Medicago truncatula: one gene and its partner. The protein of the gene in region 2 binds, or shares a complex with, the protein of the main gene of each other region. Links are inferred from orthologs where the notes say so. Each region holds a gene or a part of one and is shown on either strand. Other genes may lie near its edges. The genes, in order: mitochondrial import inner membrane translocase subunit TIM17-2 and mitochondrial import inner membrane translocase subunit TIM50.

The links.
Region 1: mitochondrial import inner membrane translocase subunit TIM50 (region 2) and mitochondrial import inner membrane translocase subunit TIM17-2 share a complex: the UniProt entries of both Arabidopsis thaliana proteins name them as parts of the TIM17:23 complex. The link is inferred for Medicago truncatula from reciprocal best matches to the Arabidopsis thaliana genes TIM50 and TIM17-2.

Annotation. Positions count from the first base shown.
Region 1 is NC_053047.1:41,353,958-41,360,281, reverse strand, and holds mitochondrial import inner membrane translocase subunit TIM17-2, read right to left. Parts: upstream 1,646-6,324; 5' UTR 1,514-1,645; coding exon 881-1,513; 3' UTR 574-880; downstream 1-573. UniProt on the Arabidopsis thaliana protein: Essential component of the TIM17:23 complex, a complex that mediates the translocation of transit peptide-containing proteins across the mitochondrial inner membrane. Links the inner and outer membranes.
Region 2 is NC_053046.1:42,945,478-42,953,287, forward strand, and holds the start of mitochondrial import inner membrane translocase subunit TIM50, read right to left. Parts: upstream 3,194-7,810; 5' UTR 3,079-3,193; coding exon 2,757-3,078; intron 2,612-2,756; coding exon 2,523-2,611; intron 1,100-2,522; coding exon 1,063-1,099; intron 1-1,062. UniProt on the Arabidopsis thaliana protein: Essential component of the TIM17:23 complex, a complex that mediates the translocation of transit peptide-containing proteins across the mitochondrial inner membrane.

The DNA of each region.
Region 1 (6,324 bases), on a different chromosome or scaffold from region 2:
TACCTCACTCTCAAAATCCAGTTAAAGGAAACATCAAATTTAAACATATTGTAATTAAACCACCGGTAATCTAATATACTTACACTAATTATAACCACCGGTAGCTATCATGTCACTAGTGCCACAAGAACAAAATATAGTTCTTGACAAAAGACATGGCCGGCCATGAAATTAGTGCTCAAAATAAGGCAGAGGAGCACCAAACCTCTCAAGAACCCTCACCTCACTGATCACCACAAATTCATTCAAGTAACAAATATCCCCCAACCCAACACAACAAAGCCACTGCTAAAAAAAAAAGAACCAAACAGAACCACAGAACCCCTACGGCCCCTCAAAAACCAGTTCACACCTCACTAAGTGAGTAGCCATTTGTGAAGGCAACAAAACACAGTGAAAATCTAGCTGAATAGAAACTCATTAGGGAGATTATAAGCTTAAAAGACAATAACCAAACCCTATTTCACACGTACTCAAAATAAGGCAGAGAAGGCGAATCAACCCTCTCAAAAACCTTCACCTCACTAATCAACACAAATTTGTTGGTAACAAACAATTGAAATTCAAGCAATCACACACCAAACAAAGAACATTCATTTAAACTCAACATAATTAAACAACTAATAATCTACTGTACTTACATTAATCATAACAACATTAAAAAAATATCATTAACATTATAATAAAAGTCTACCGCTAAACTTATTACATATGATTATCAATTTCAAAACAGCCATAAACCAGATAACTCTTATAAATACTTCATTAGTATCATAGCTAATAAGCAACCAACATCAATCAAGGTTCAAACCAAACCCTAATTTTCTCAAATTTAAATTTTCAAAACACAAATTCACTACCTCAAAACTCTAATTCATAATCACTTATACTCAAAATTCGGCACAGGAGGCGCATCAAAACTCTCCAAAACCTTCACCTCACTTCCACCACCACCAATCTTCTCTTCCTCCTTCTGTCCAAAAATTCCACCAAATCCACCAAACCACGGCTTCCCACCTTTGTTTTCCTCCGAATTTGCATTTGAATTCGAATTCTCTGGCGGCATATCCTCGATCATCATCGGCAAAGGCTGTTGAGCACTCAAAAACTTATTCAAAGCAATACCAGCCCCCTCAATCAACGCTAAAAGCACACCACCAAATGCCGCTGATCGCGCAGAAGCAGCTAAACCCTGACGCATAGCAAGAAAACCACCAGTAGCAGCACCAGCAACAATAGAATTCCACGGATCTTCCTTTTGTCTCACGTAAACCATAGTACAATCAAAAGTTGAGAATAAACCACCCCAAACAGCGAAACTACCACCGATTCGAGGTGCGTTGAGACGAACAGCTTGTGTTGCGCCGGTGAAACGTGCTCCTTTGGGGGAATTGTAGAGACCTTTGAGAAAGTGGAAGGCGGAGCCACCGACGGCACCCATACCAAACGCGCCGCCGATGTCGTCGAGGATGCGATCGGGACAAGGCTCGCGTGAGGTTTCAGGTGTTCCCATGTTTTGATTGATTTGATCGAAAAGTGAATTTGGGTATTAGGGTTTTGGTGCGTGAGAGGAGAAAGAGAGAGAACAAAAGAATGAAGTAAAGAGGGTCGAAGTTCTCTTTTTATACGCCGACTAATAATGTTAAAATTATTTTAGATTTTAGATATCAATCTTTTTTATCAAGCAATGGGAAATTTTGTTTTTTTTTTAGAATCAACGGGAAATGTTTTAGATATTTTGTTTTTGCATACCTATTGGAAAAAAAAAAAATATATATATATATATATATGATTATTAATTCTTGGTTTAAATGTGTCCATTGATCCAAGCACTTTTTTTGTTTGGCATTGGTCCCTGCACTTTGTAAAAATATTGGTATTGGTCCCTCTGTTAACTTTCTGTTAAAAAAAAAAAACACAAAATCAACGGAATGCCACCTGGCCCAATCATTTCACGCCACGTGGCACCAATATCAATATTTTTACAAAGTGCACTGACCAATTCCAAACAAAAAAAAGTGTAGGGACCAATGCCAAAATCTGATGAAAGTGTAAGGACTAAAGGCATATTTAAACCTTAATTCTTTCTTTCCATGAGATTCTTGCACGATTTATTTTTTAAAAATGTGTTTTTGTTCGAATTTTATAATCATAAGGTGTTTTGATTTATGGAATCCTAACAATGTAAAAATTGAAGGCAGGCATGCAACATGACTTATGCTTGCCCAAATTTCTATAACAATCGTTTGAAATATATAAACCGAAATTTTTTCACAATGTGTTGAAAGTATGATTTTAAACATAGTTTTTGGGCCCATTTTTATTTTTATGATCGGGAAAACTAGCTTTTAAAAGGCGGGGGAACACTTGGATTATGGAATCTGAAACCTTCGAATATAAAGGTTTGCCAAAAACCTAACAAAATGTCACCACCTTTATCACTAAACACTCCTCACATCTCAAAAAAAAACACACCATTTTGGGCGAAAGTGTGATTTGGAGTAGCAATTTGGTCATCAAGGGGCGTCAACAACATCATTTTCGTTTGAATGCATAGATAATGTTCCTATAAGACCTTCCTCGTTCGATTTCTAGGCGCTTTCCTCTTGATCACGTCAACAATATGGTTTGACTTATATAATCTGAAACACACCATTGCAGACATTGTCCAGTTTGTTACCATGATTTTGCATTGTTTTTAGTAATGGACGCTCTCATTAATATCTCATAGGCTCTTACATTGGCTCCTGACATTGAAACTCCTATTATGTTGCTAATTATTTCACCTGAAAATTTGGATGATACCGTCAATGTCAAAGTCGAGGATCCCCCACCTCTAGTCGATATTCCTTCTGAGGATGCGAAAGTGAAGGGTGCTCCTCCACCTGGTGTGCCTCCAGCTGATACTCATCCAATTGTTGGACCTATTGTTGTTTCTATTGATCATCAGGAAAATTTTACCACTAAAGTAAAGTTTGCTACACATAACGATTTGTTGAGTGGATTCGAAAATAAGTAGGGAGGCTAGGATTTTCAACTGTTATTAAAAAGTCAAATAAGGGTGGAAATGGCATAAATGTATTTGTTACGTTATATGTGAAAAGGGAGGTTCGTATACTGAGTACAAGAAGTTGTGCATGTGTAAGATATATGGGAAATACAACGAAAAACGTAGTTGAATATGCGCACAGTCAGTTGAAAAAGTATTTGACTAGTAGTATGGGATGTTTGTGTATGAATTGGTCATTCGTTCACAACATGTTAGAATCGCAACATACTCAAATACATGTGTTGTTCTATATGAGTATGATCATGCTTAAAACAGTTTCACGGGAAAGTTGTCGTGGTCTAAGTTGATTGGAAACATATCAAAGAATGTTTTGCATTATATATCGCAAACAAATCTGATCGAGCAGTTGAGTGTGGTACAGATAAATCCAAACATGGTTGCTTAGTTTTCATCACATGTGAATTGTCGTGTGCATGCACCACTGCTAAAAATACAAAGAACACCTGTAACGCCCTAGTTGTTTATTTAATTAATTTGAATTATGTGGAGTATATGTATTTTTATATATGATGTTTGGTAATTTATGCGGAGTATATATATATATATATATATATTTATATATATATATGTGATTTTTGGGTGTCTTATGTGGTGTATTATTTTATTATATAGTTTATTTAATAATAATTAATATAAGTATGAAATAATAATTATTTTGGAGTTTGGGGAGTTATTTAATAGTTATTAAAGTTAATGGGGAGTTAAATGAAAATATAGGGAGTTAAGTAATGGGAAGTTAGGAAAAGAAAGAGGAGAAGCAGTTGTACGTAAGAACTGACAAGTTGGGAGAAAAAGGGGAGAAGACCAAGTTAGAGCCAAGAGTGAATTTGCTGCACATTTCTTCTTCAATTTCTAAGGTAAGGGTGAGGTTTACTTCAATAGTGTAGATTTTAAAGTCTGATTTGAGTTTAACAGGTTTTTGGATTGAAATTGAGGAATTGGGTTTTAATTGAATTTATGGTTTTTGGGGTAGATATTGCTATTCTGATGTTAGAATTTGGTTTTGGTTGCATAGAAACATTCATTTCTCATCTGTAAACTGATTTGGGGAGTGATTGGAAGGAAAATGGGATTTTTGGGAAAAACCAGTTTTCTGCCCGTACAGAAGTTCATCGCTCGCCTCGCGAGTAGCTGTGCTCGCCATGGCGAGTGAGCAACTTCATAGCTCGCCTCGCGAGCAGTCCAACTCGCCATGGCGAGTAGCCCATAATAAAACTTGATTTTTGAAAAGTTGTTATAAGATGTTTTGGGGATGGTTTAAGGTACCTAGATGATTTTTATGATGAATGGTGAAAGTTTTAGGTTAAAAAGATGAATAGGGAACTTAGAATTTGGATTTGAGTGAGAAAATGGCATTTTTCCCGAGAGCTCCTGATTTTCACTCGCCTAGAGTTCGCCTTGAACTCGCCACGGCGAGCTACTGTTTTTGTGAACTCGCCATGGCGAGCAGATGTGCTCGCAAGGCGAGTTGCACTGTTTATGAGTGTTGAATTGCTTGCATGATTAGTAGTGGTTGGTGTTGTTGTATTTGAGCATGGTTGTATATAATTATACATTATTTTGGTTGATTGGATTGTTGGATTGATGAATACTGATGATGGTTGAAATGTATGTTATTTATTGAATCATACATATTATTATAGTAGAGTCACATGGAGTTGCATTGCATGGTCAGTTGTATGTAGATATACACAAGTAGGTCCATTACATATGCATAAAACAGCGGTGAGGGCTTCGGTCCTGGAGTACTAGTTGCTCAACAGCGGTGAGGGCTTCGGTCCTGATGAATGCTTTAACCATTCAAAAGCGGTGAGGGCTTCGGTCCTATTTGGTACCACATGCATATTGCATTTCATTAAGAAGTCTAAGATGGTGTCTTAGCAGTGGTCATGTCATTTGCATGAGTCTTGGTTGTTGATGTCGGTTATTTTCTGATGGATGATGTTGGTGTTGAATATGCATTTATATATATATATTCATTGTGATCATGGGTATTGTTGATGTTGTTGTTACTTGTGACTTATACATATATTTGTTTACAAGATAAAGTGTTGTTGGTTAGGGTGTTAGATTCAATTGATGATTTTAATATATATATTTATTGTTGTGAATCTCACCCCTTCTGCTTGAAAATGTTGCCCTTCCTATGGGTAACTTGCAGGTGATCCTGAGTAGTAGGTGGTGGCTCAAAGTCGTGTTTAGGGCTCTGATACGTGGGATGGGATTTATCATTTTTATTATTGTTGCTTTTCCTTTCCATGTATCAAATTTTGGAACTTATGGTGTGGAGCCTTTTGTTGTCTTTGAACTATGATGTTGAATTATGTTAAGGCCTTTAATGCCTTAGACTATTGTTGGATGTTCATGTGGTTATGGATTATGAAAACTATTCCGCTGCTATGTTTTCATAAATAATAAGTTGCTTGATTAAATAGTTTTATTTTCTATTTAAGAAATTTTGAAATGACGTGTAGCATGCCCGTTGTGGAACTACTCTGATGTATATTTGCTATTTAATTGCTTTTGGGTAACGGGGTGTTACAATTTGGTATCAGAGCCGGTTGGTCCGTCCGGCCAACTAGTAGAGTCGTGTTGAGCCACCTAGGATAGAGTGTCAACTTTAATATTGTTTTTTTTGTTGTTGTTCTGAGTTGTTGTTTGTCGTGTAGAATCTCGAGATGACTGGAAGTAGTGATGCTGCCCTTGTTGCTGCGCTTGAGGCTGTAGCTCAAGTTGTTCAACAGCAACCTAAGGTTGAGACTGGTAGTGATGGAACCAGGATGCTAGAGACTTTCTTGAGGAATCATCCACCAACATTCAAGGGTAGGTATGCTCCTGATGGTGCTCAGAAGTGGCTGAAGGAGATTGAAAGAATATTCCGAGTCATGCAGTGTTCTGAGACACAGAAGGTGCGGTTTGGGACGCACATGTTAGCTGAGGAGGCCGATGATTGGTGGATTAGTTTGTTGCCTGTTCTGGAGCAGGATGATGCTGTGGTAACCTGGGCCATGTTCAGGAAGGAGTTGCTGGGCAGGTATTTTCCAGAGGATGTCAGGGGTAAGAAAGAGATTGAATTTCTGGAGTTGAAACAGGGTGACATGTCTGTCACAGAGTATGCTGCAAAGTTTATGGAGCTTGCCACATTCTACCCTCATTACAGTGCGGAGACAGCTGAGTTCTCCAAGTGTATCAAGTTTGAGAATGGGTTGAGGGCTGACATCAAGAGGGCTATTGGGTATCAGCAGATCAGAGTC
Region 2 (7,810 bases):
TGTTTCAAAACAAATAAATAAATATTTTAGAAGTATACAACATCATTTTGTCTGTACCAGTCCTCCTTAACAATACAACTAAACCAATGCCCACTTGACTTCTTTGCTAGTTACTACGCCCTGATCAAATGCTACAAAGGAGGCCGTATAATAGATATTTCTATGATTGTACAGAGTACAGTTCTTTTGGTACATATTAAAATTACCAGTGTTGTCAATCGCGGATAACGGAAATTTGGGGATTGATAAAATTAGCATCACTGTTTGTCAACATTTTACATTAAATAGCTATGAATGAACAACAGAAGTATGTCTAATTTCCGCTACAACATCGCTCATAACATCAACGCAGCTGCTATTTAACAACACTGAAAATTACCGTTAACTATCATATCATAAAAGCTTTTTTGTAATGCGCATATGCAAGCAGCAATTTATCCATGGGACCCCTACTACATATTGTTATGATTAATTGATAAATTAATCTATATAAATTATGATTATCCATAGCCAAGATAACTTCACAAAATCACAAAAGAGATGTAGTGGTTAACTCATCCATTCGATTCATGTTTGTACTTGCAGGAAGTATGATCATTCCTACCCTTGGCAGTGTTGTTCCAGTCAAGGGCGGTATATTTTGGGTGTTTGTAAAAGTGATCCTTCTTTCTGAGACCAAGCCCCCCCTTTCATGCAAAGCAGGAACTGCCCCTTCCTCAAACCACCTAGTGGGAGGTTCTTTTCCCTAACTCCCTTCTCACCTCCTCTCGGGATAACTGCTTGGGCCCTCTCACTTTAACTTTCCCACCTCTATCCATTCGGACTCGCCCACACACCAGGCACATGCTTTCTCCAAGTCGCCCAAGGACTTCCCTTATTTAGGTCAAGGGTATGGAACTAAATGGCATATGATGGTCCAATGTTCATGTAACAGCAACACTCCCGAAGTCCAAGGGAAGAGACACTCACATGAAGAACCTCAAAATTAATTATATATTTAAAGGATCCGAACAATACTGATATAAGATAAGTGACGTACAGAGTAAAGCTAGGGGAACCCACCTGTCACTGCAGTTGAGTATACCATCCCTTGAAATTTCTGCAAGCATAATAAAATCGAAAAATATCAACCTACTAATGTTAAGGCCTATTAACATATTAAACTGACTAAAGGAACAATGATAATTTACTACATTCTAACCATGCAAAGCTCCAAAACTAAGCAATAGTGCTGTCCACAAAGGGATTACCAATAAACAAAAAAGTAAAAATTTGCAACTCATTTAAGTTCATGTTGCATAAGAGGCATTTCAAATAACAAGAGAACAACATTCAAAGAGTACGTTGTTCCCTGTTTTTTTGGCCTTCTGTTTCCTGTTTTTAGTCAGTTGTTCCCTTATGTTGGTGATGTGGTTTGTGGCCGATTTCTTTTGCACTTCAGTTTAGTTTCACGCCTTGCTCGTCTTATACTTGGTTTGTGATTTGCAGAAAATTTAGCAGATTCAAAAACACATTCGAAGAGTCATTTCATCAAACAAAAATTTGTTAATGTTGAGAGTCTAAACACAACAATTCATGCTAGAAAAATGTCAACCTACTAATGTTGAGGCCTATTAACATATTAAAATGACTAAAGGAACAAAGAAAATCTATCACATTCAAACAATGCAGAGTTCTAAAACTAAGCAATAGTAAGGTCAACAAAGTGTGTTTCCAAGAAACAACACAGTAAAATTTTCAATCTGACACTGATATCACTAAAATTTACTTATGCAAGCAATTGAAAGCCGCCATATCAAAGTGTTGCATCCAAAGATACCACACCACCAATAAATTGACAAAATGTGGGAAAAATGTCAAATCCACACACAAATTTTGCAACTCATTCCAGTTCATATTCTAAGAGCCACTTCATCAAACAAATAAATAATCATTAAATTTATAGAGTCTAAACCTCTGTAGCCCTGACACTTCTAATTGAAGGCGTGTTCGATGTCCAACACGTGTCACTGTCCAATACCGACATGACACCCACATATGTGATTACAGTGAATTATGTCATTTACTATCAGTGTTGATGTGTCAGTGTCAGTGCCGTGTTCGATGTTCATGTTTGTGCTTCATAGGTCTAAACACAACAATTCACACTAGAAAAATAACTTCAAATGTAAAATTAGTAGCAGCACTCAAATTGAGAGCAGTAACTTGAAACAATTATAATCCATTCATTCAAACCATGCTGAGTTTTGTCATAATTCAAACAAGTATATCTATCACAATCCCTGGTAGTAATGTAAGAAAATGACATAATTGAATGTAATTACTAGTCACACGTGTGATGTCTTCGAACAGAAATGTCGGTACTTTTAGATATTTGAAAAACCATTTCATCAAACAAAAATTCGTCAATTATTTAGAAATTGAACATTAAACAAAACAATTAATGGTAGAAAAACTAATTTCAAATGTTAAATTAGCAAAGAAGATTAAATGCGAAGAAAGATTCAGAAACAGTTACTTACATCGAGAGAAGTAGCTCCATCAGGTGGAGAGTACTTAGTCGAATCACGAAACAACTTCGTTTTCTCATCAATTTCGTCCGTACTATAAGCTGCACATTACATTCAATAAACAAGAAAGAAAAATAAAATCAATCAATCATCATTTCGTTTTCCAGATCAATACGATTAAAGAAAGATTCAAAATGATTAACTACAGTGGAAACGGAAATGAAGAGGAAAAAGAAAAATACGAACCGTAAGAGGCGTAACCGGCAACGGCGGTGGTTCCGGTTAAGGCACCGATGGCGGCGTATTTGAGGAAGTTCCAGCGGTTAGGGGAAGCGGTGGAAGAAAAAGGAGGAGGTGGAGGAGGAGTGGCGGAAGAAGGTGGAGGAGTGGCGGAAGAAGGAGGAGGTGGAGAAGGAGTGGCGGAAGGAGGAGGATGAGGAGTAGCAGGAGCGGCGGTGGATGAGAAACGTGAAGAAGGTTGAGGAGTGACTTTGGAAAAGCGGAATGGCTTCGAAGACGATGATGCTGCGACGGAGAAGAATCGAGATCGGAGAATTTGGAGAGACATTGTTGTTATGGTGAATGAAATGAAATGAAAGAGGTTCAGGTAGGGTTTTGGCTTGGCTTGGTGGAGACGCCGGATCAACTCTGTTAAGCTTTCTGTTATTCTTTTTTAACTATTTGGACTTTGACGCCGTCAGTCTAGCTAACGTTGTTTCTAGAGCCCTGCTAAAAAGTTTTTTGGTGGATTATTTATTTCTTCTCCCACAAGAAAAAGATTTTTTTTAAGTAATCTAATAATATTAGGAATTCACCTGAATATTAATTAAAAAAATGTTGCTTGAGGACGAAAAAGATGTTTTTTTTTTTTTTTTTGTAAGAAAACAATTTTAAAAATCTATGAACTCACTTGATAGGGATGTTGCATATTATATATAGAGGTTGGGGTTCGAATCTCGGACACTCTATTTCTCCACAATTAAATTGTGTGAGCTATAACTACTAGGATACTCGACAAAAAAATTCTAAAATATATTAATTAAAAAAAGATGATAGTGTTTTTTACTATATAAATAAAGAAAATTATAATGGAATCTAGCTAAGAAATTATAATGAAAATTACAGTGCAAACTCATATTACATGGATGGAATCTGAAGGAAAAAAATTGCAAAAGGGAAAACAGAGAATGACATATATTGCATGTGGTAAAACACTATTAACCCTACATTGTATTGTCTAAAAGAAAAATTTGATTTTTTTTAAACGATGAGATTTTATTAAGCGTTTTGTCAAAGTCAAATTGAGGTATTTTACAATACCACTTAAAAGTTAAGTATTTGAAATTCTTTCTTTACAGTATAGAATATTTTGAAAGAAAAAAATTTGGAAAATGAGAGATTTCATCAAATATTGTCAAAATTAAATTGAGATATTTCAAATACCACCTTAAAGTTAAGAATTTTAAATTATTTCGCTACTATATTGGTCATATATATTTCAAAAATTTAACATTTGTCATTTTATTTTTATTTTTTTAAATTTATCATGTATGTTTCAAATTTTGCTTATTGGCCCCCTGTTAATTTTTAAATTTAGTAAGTTGGTCCTTTTAATTATAAAAAATTACAAACTAATCCATGTAATAATCATATAATTACTCCTATAAGGATTCAAACATGAGATCTCAAAATCAAGGTTTGCTCTCATAGCCTGCTCAACAACACCAATATTTTGTTGTAGTTCAGCTTTTTATCAACTAATTTTTAATAATTCTATGTTTGGAGCTTTGGAGGCCAAATAGCCTTTAGAAAAACGTGTGTTTTTTTTAGAGACTTAAAACAAATATTTGGATCGCCTTGCGTTTGGATCAACTATATTTCTACGTTCTTAATTAGGAGCCTTCCGATCTTTCCCCTTTGACTTGTTAATATTGGTTATAGCCTCGTACCTTATCTTGTAATACAATTACTAATCTTCCATCAAGTTCTTCATATGGGAATATTATATGACACTTATCTTGAATATATTTCAATCCTAAATGAGAACTTCCGTTAGCAATTAGCATCCAATTCATTAAAATATGTTGGTGATTTGAGGTGATTCTAAGATTGACGATCAAAGTTGATGAAGCGCAATGAAGAATGTTCATTGGTTCCTCTGACTGAGTCTTGCGCGCACATGCAAATAACACTTTAACGATCAAGTTTGTCTATGATTGGGTGAGTGATTGGTTTTGATTAAAAGTAAAAATACCTTTTTCCAAGTATATCTTTATATATGACGAGTTTCAGGAATACGAGGTGAAAATTCGTTGAGTTAATTGAACGAAATCTACATGATTCTTAGACTTTTGTCTAATCACAATCATATAGTGACAATATGATTGACATGTTCACTAGGATACATCGTCAATACCACCCCATAATATGTGAATTTTGCTCTTCACCCTACACATTTTGCTCGCGTTCTGCAGCCATGTCAAAAATGTCATTGCGCTAGTTAACTTGCGCAAGTGTTAATCAATGCACAACTTAACCAACGTTGCGTGAGTTAACTAGCGCAACGTTAGTTAAGTCACGCTACGTGTTGTCTTAAACAAGGCGGAACACCTCATAAAAGGAATGAACAAAATTGAGGCATATAACAATATCTCATTTTATTAATAGAATTCATACAATACAATAATTGATACAATAATTTATTCCAATTCACTAATTTATTCTACTTATTTTCTCCCTTTTGGGGTAAAAAGTAATCAATCTTCTTAGGGTAAAATAGCGAGCAGCCTTCTTGGGGAAAATACATCACCAACCTCTGGGCTGAATTTAAATCTAGTTTTTTTTTATGCCCCAACAAGAATCCTTTTACCCACGGTAAAAAGTTTATGGAGTAAAAAAAACAGATTTAAACTTATCCCAATGGTTGATCACTTCCCCAAGTTGGCTACTCACTATTTTACTCCGAAGAAGAGAAATAGAGGGAGAGAGTGAGGAGGGGGAGAAAGTGAGATGGTGTGAGGAAATAGGGAAGTATGGAGGGGTATTTATAGGTGAGAATGGTAGTGTAGGTTATAACCACCATAAATGTGGTCAAAAAAACGTGTAAAGTTTGTAGAAAATGTGTGGATTGAAGGTTGAAAACCTGACCACCGTCCAAAAAACGTTTGTTCTTCAGTTCTGACCACCAGCCAACGTGCATGAGTTAACTCGCGCATAGGTCAATGGTGCGTGACTCAAGTCACGCAGAGGTTATAAAATGCGCAAGTTAAGTCACGTAGGGCGCGAGCAAAATGTGCTGGGTGAAGAGCAACATTCATAATATGTACCTCCATGATCCAATCTATTAGCGGAATGGGCCTCAGCCTAGTCCGAACAATAGGTAATTATCATTCTCATACCCTTCTCTTTTTTAGTAACTATGCCATCAATTATGAGTAATTTTTTGGGTGATCCATTATTATTATCCACCAAGATCATTATGCATGGAGGCTTTATCAATTTTTAATAATGTGGGCGTGTGTGGGTTTGAAGGCGGTTCCTTGACCCCCTTTGCTCTTCTGTACCGCATCACCCGGGGGTTTTGGCCCCAAACCATGAATGGTATGAATGCAACTTGACAATCAAACCTCAATTTGTTCTGTTCAGTATGAAGATAACAGCTGCAAATTTCTATGATCAATAATACTGATCCGACTGACAACTGGCTACTACTTACTTTTCAAGTACCTATTATCGTTCATGACAAAATGCATTCCTGAATATCAGGTAAGTCTTGGCATAGTCACAGTGCCTAACATACCATCTGCTTCATATTAATTTTCCAACTATAGACTTTTCTGAAAAAGACCAAGGGTATATTCAAACAATATACTAGTAACAAATACATAGTAGCCTATAAAAATACATATAACAAATACAGTTTTTTTTCTCAGGCATATATATAACAAATACAGTTATCCGTCAAATTTATTTATGATATTATTTTTAAAACATTTCAACAAATATTTATGCTTCTTAATTAGTTGACTAGTTCTATCGTTGACTTTGTATTTATGATAATAGTGGATATAATTGTTTAATAAAATCAATTTGATAAAATTATTGATTTTTCTTCAATTTATAACTTATTTTAGTGTGTGTGAAATAACTTAGCTAGTATAACACTCCTAATAATGGAAAACATAATTTTCTTTTCTCTTCTTGATTCGAACCATATTCATCACATGGTGAAGTCTAACCTTTTCCACTGAACACAATAAGCACATAGTATTATCAATTGAAATGTCTTTAAATTATTTTCAGAAACCAACAAAAATAATAATAGAATCACCCTCTCCAGTACACACCAGTCACCACTATATATAATGAGGCCTTCCTGGCTTTAATTCACCAAACCATCATATCTCACTACTTACAATCTACCAAACCTCATTTCATTCTCTTTCTTTAGAGTGAACACTATGGACAATATGTGTCAACTAAATTTCCAAAATATATCAACACTGACTCAAGGGATGAAAACTCATTCCCATCTTATGAAATTTACACAAATATTCATTTCACTATCTGTGTTTTGCTTCATCTTTTCACCTTCTTCCTTGTTTGTTTTCCTTCATTACTTTAAATTATATTTCTCTACTCTCCCTTTTCAACTCTACACTCACAACATAGACAAGAATAGCATGTTCCTCCTTTGTAATGGTCTCCTTGTTTTTGTTGGTTTAACTAAATCTTTTTCTGCCTCTTCTAGTGATGATGATAAACCTTCCAACAACTCCAAAGATTTTTCATCATCACAGTATATCCAAGAAGAAGAAGAAGAAGAAGAACAAGTAGAAGAAGATGGTTCACAATATCATGTTCTTGACGTAGAGGCCAATGAGCCAATATTGGAGCGAGAAGCTGAGAAGATAACTAGTAAGCCTAATGAACAAAATGCCGAAGCAGAGGAAGAAATAGAAATTAAAGCATGTTCTACAGAAGTCGAAGAAAATATTGAAAATATAATTTTCATAGACGAAGAACAAGGAGAAGAAGTTGAACTATTTGATGCACATGATGATGAGGGAGATAAATTGTCGGAAATTGATTACATTCTAATTGAAGAAAACAACATAGAAGAAGAGGAGCATGAAGAAGAAGATGAAGAATATTATGTAGAAGAAGAAAGTTGTGTGCTAAGTACAGAAGAGTTAAACAAAAAATTTGAAGATTTCATTAGAAAGATGAAAGAAGATCTTAGAATTGATGCTAGACGGCATTTAATCATGGTTTGATTTAAGCAACAAAACCATGATCTT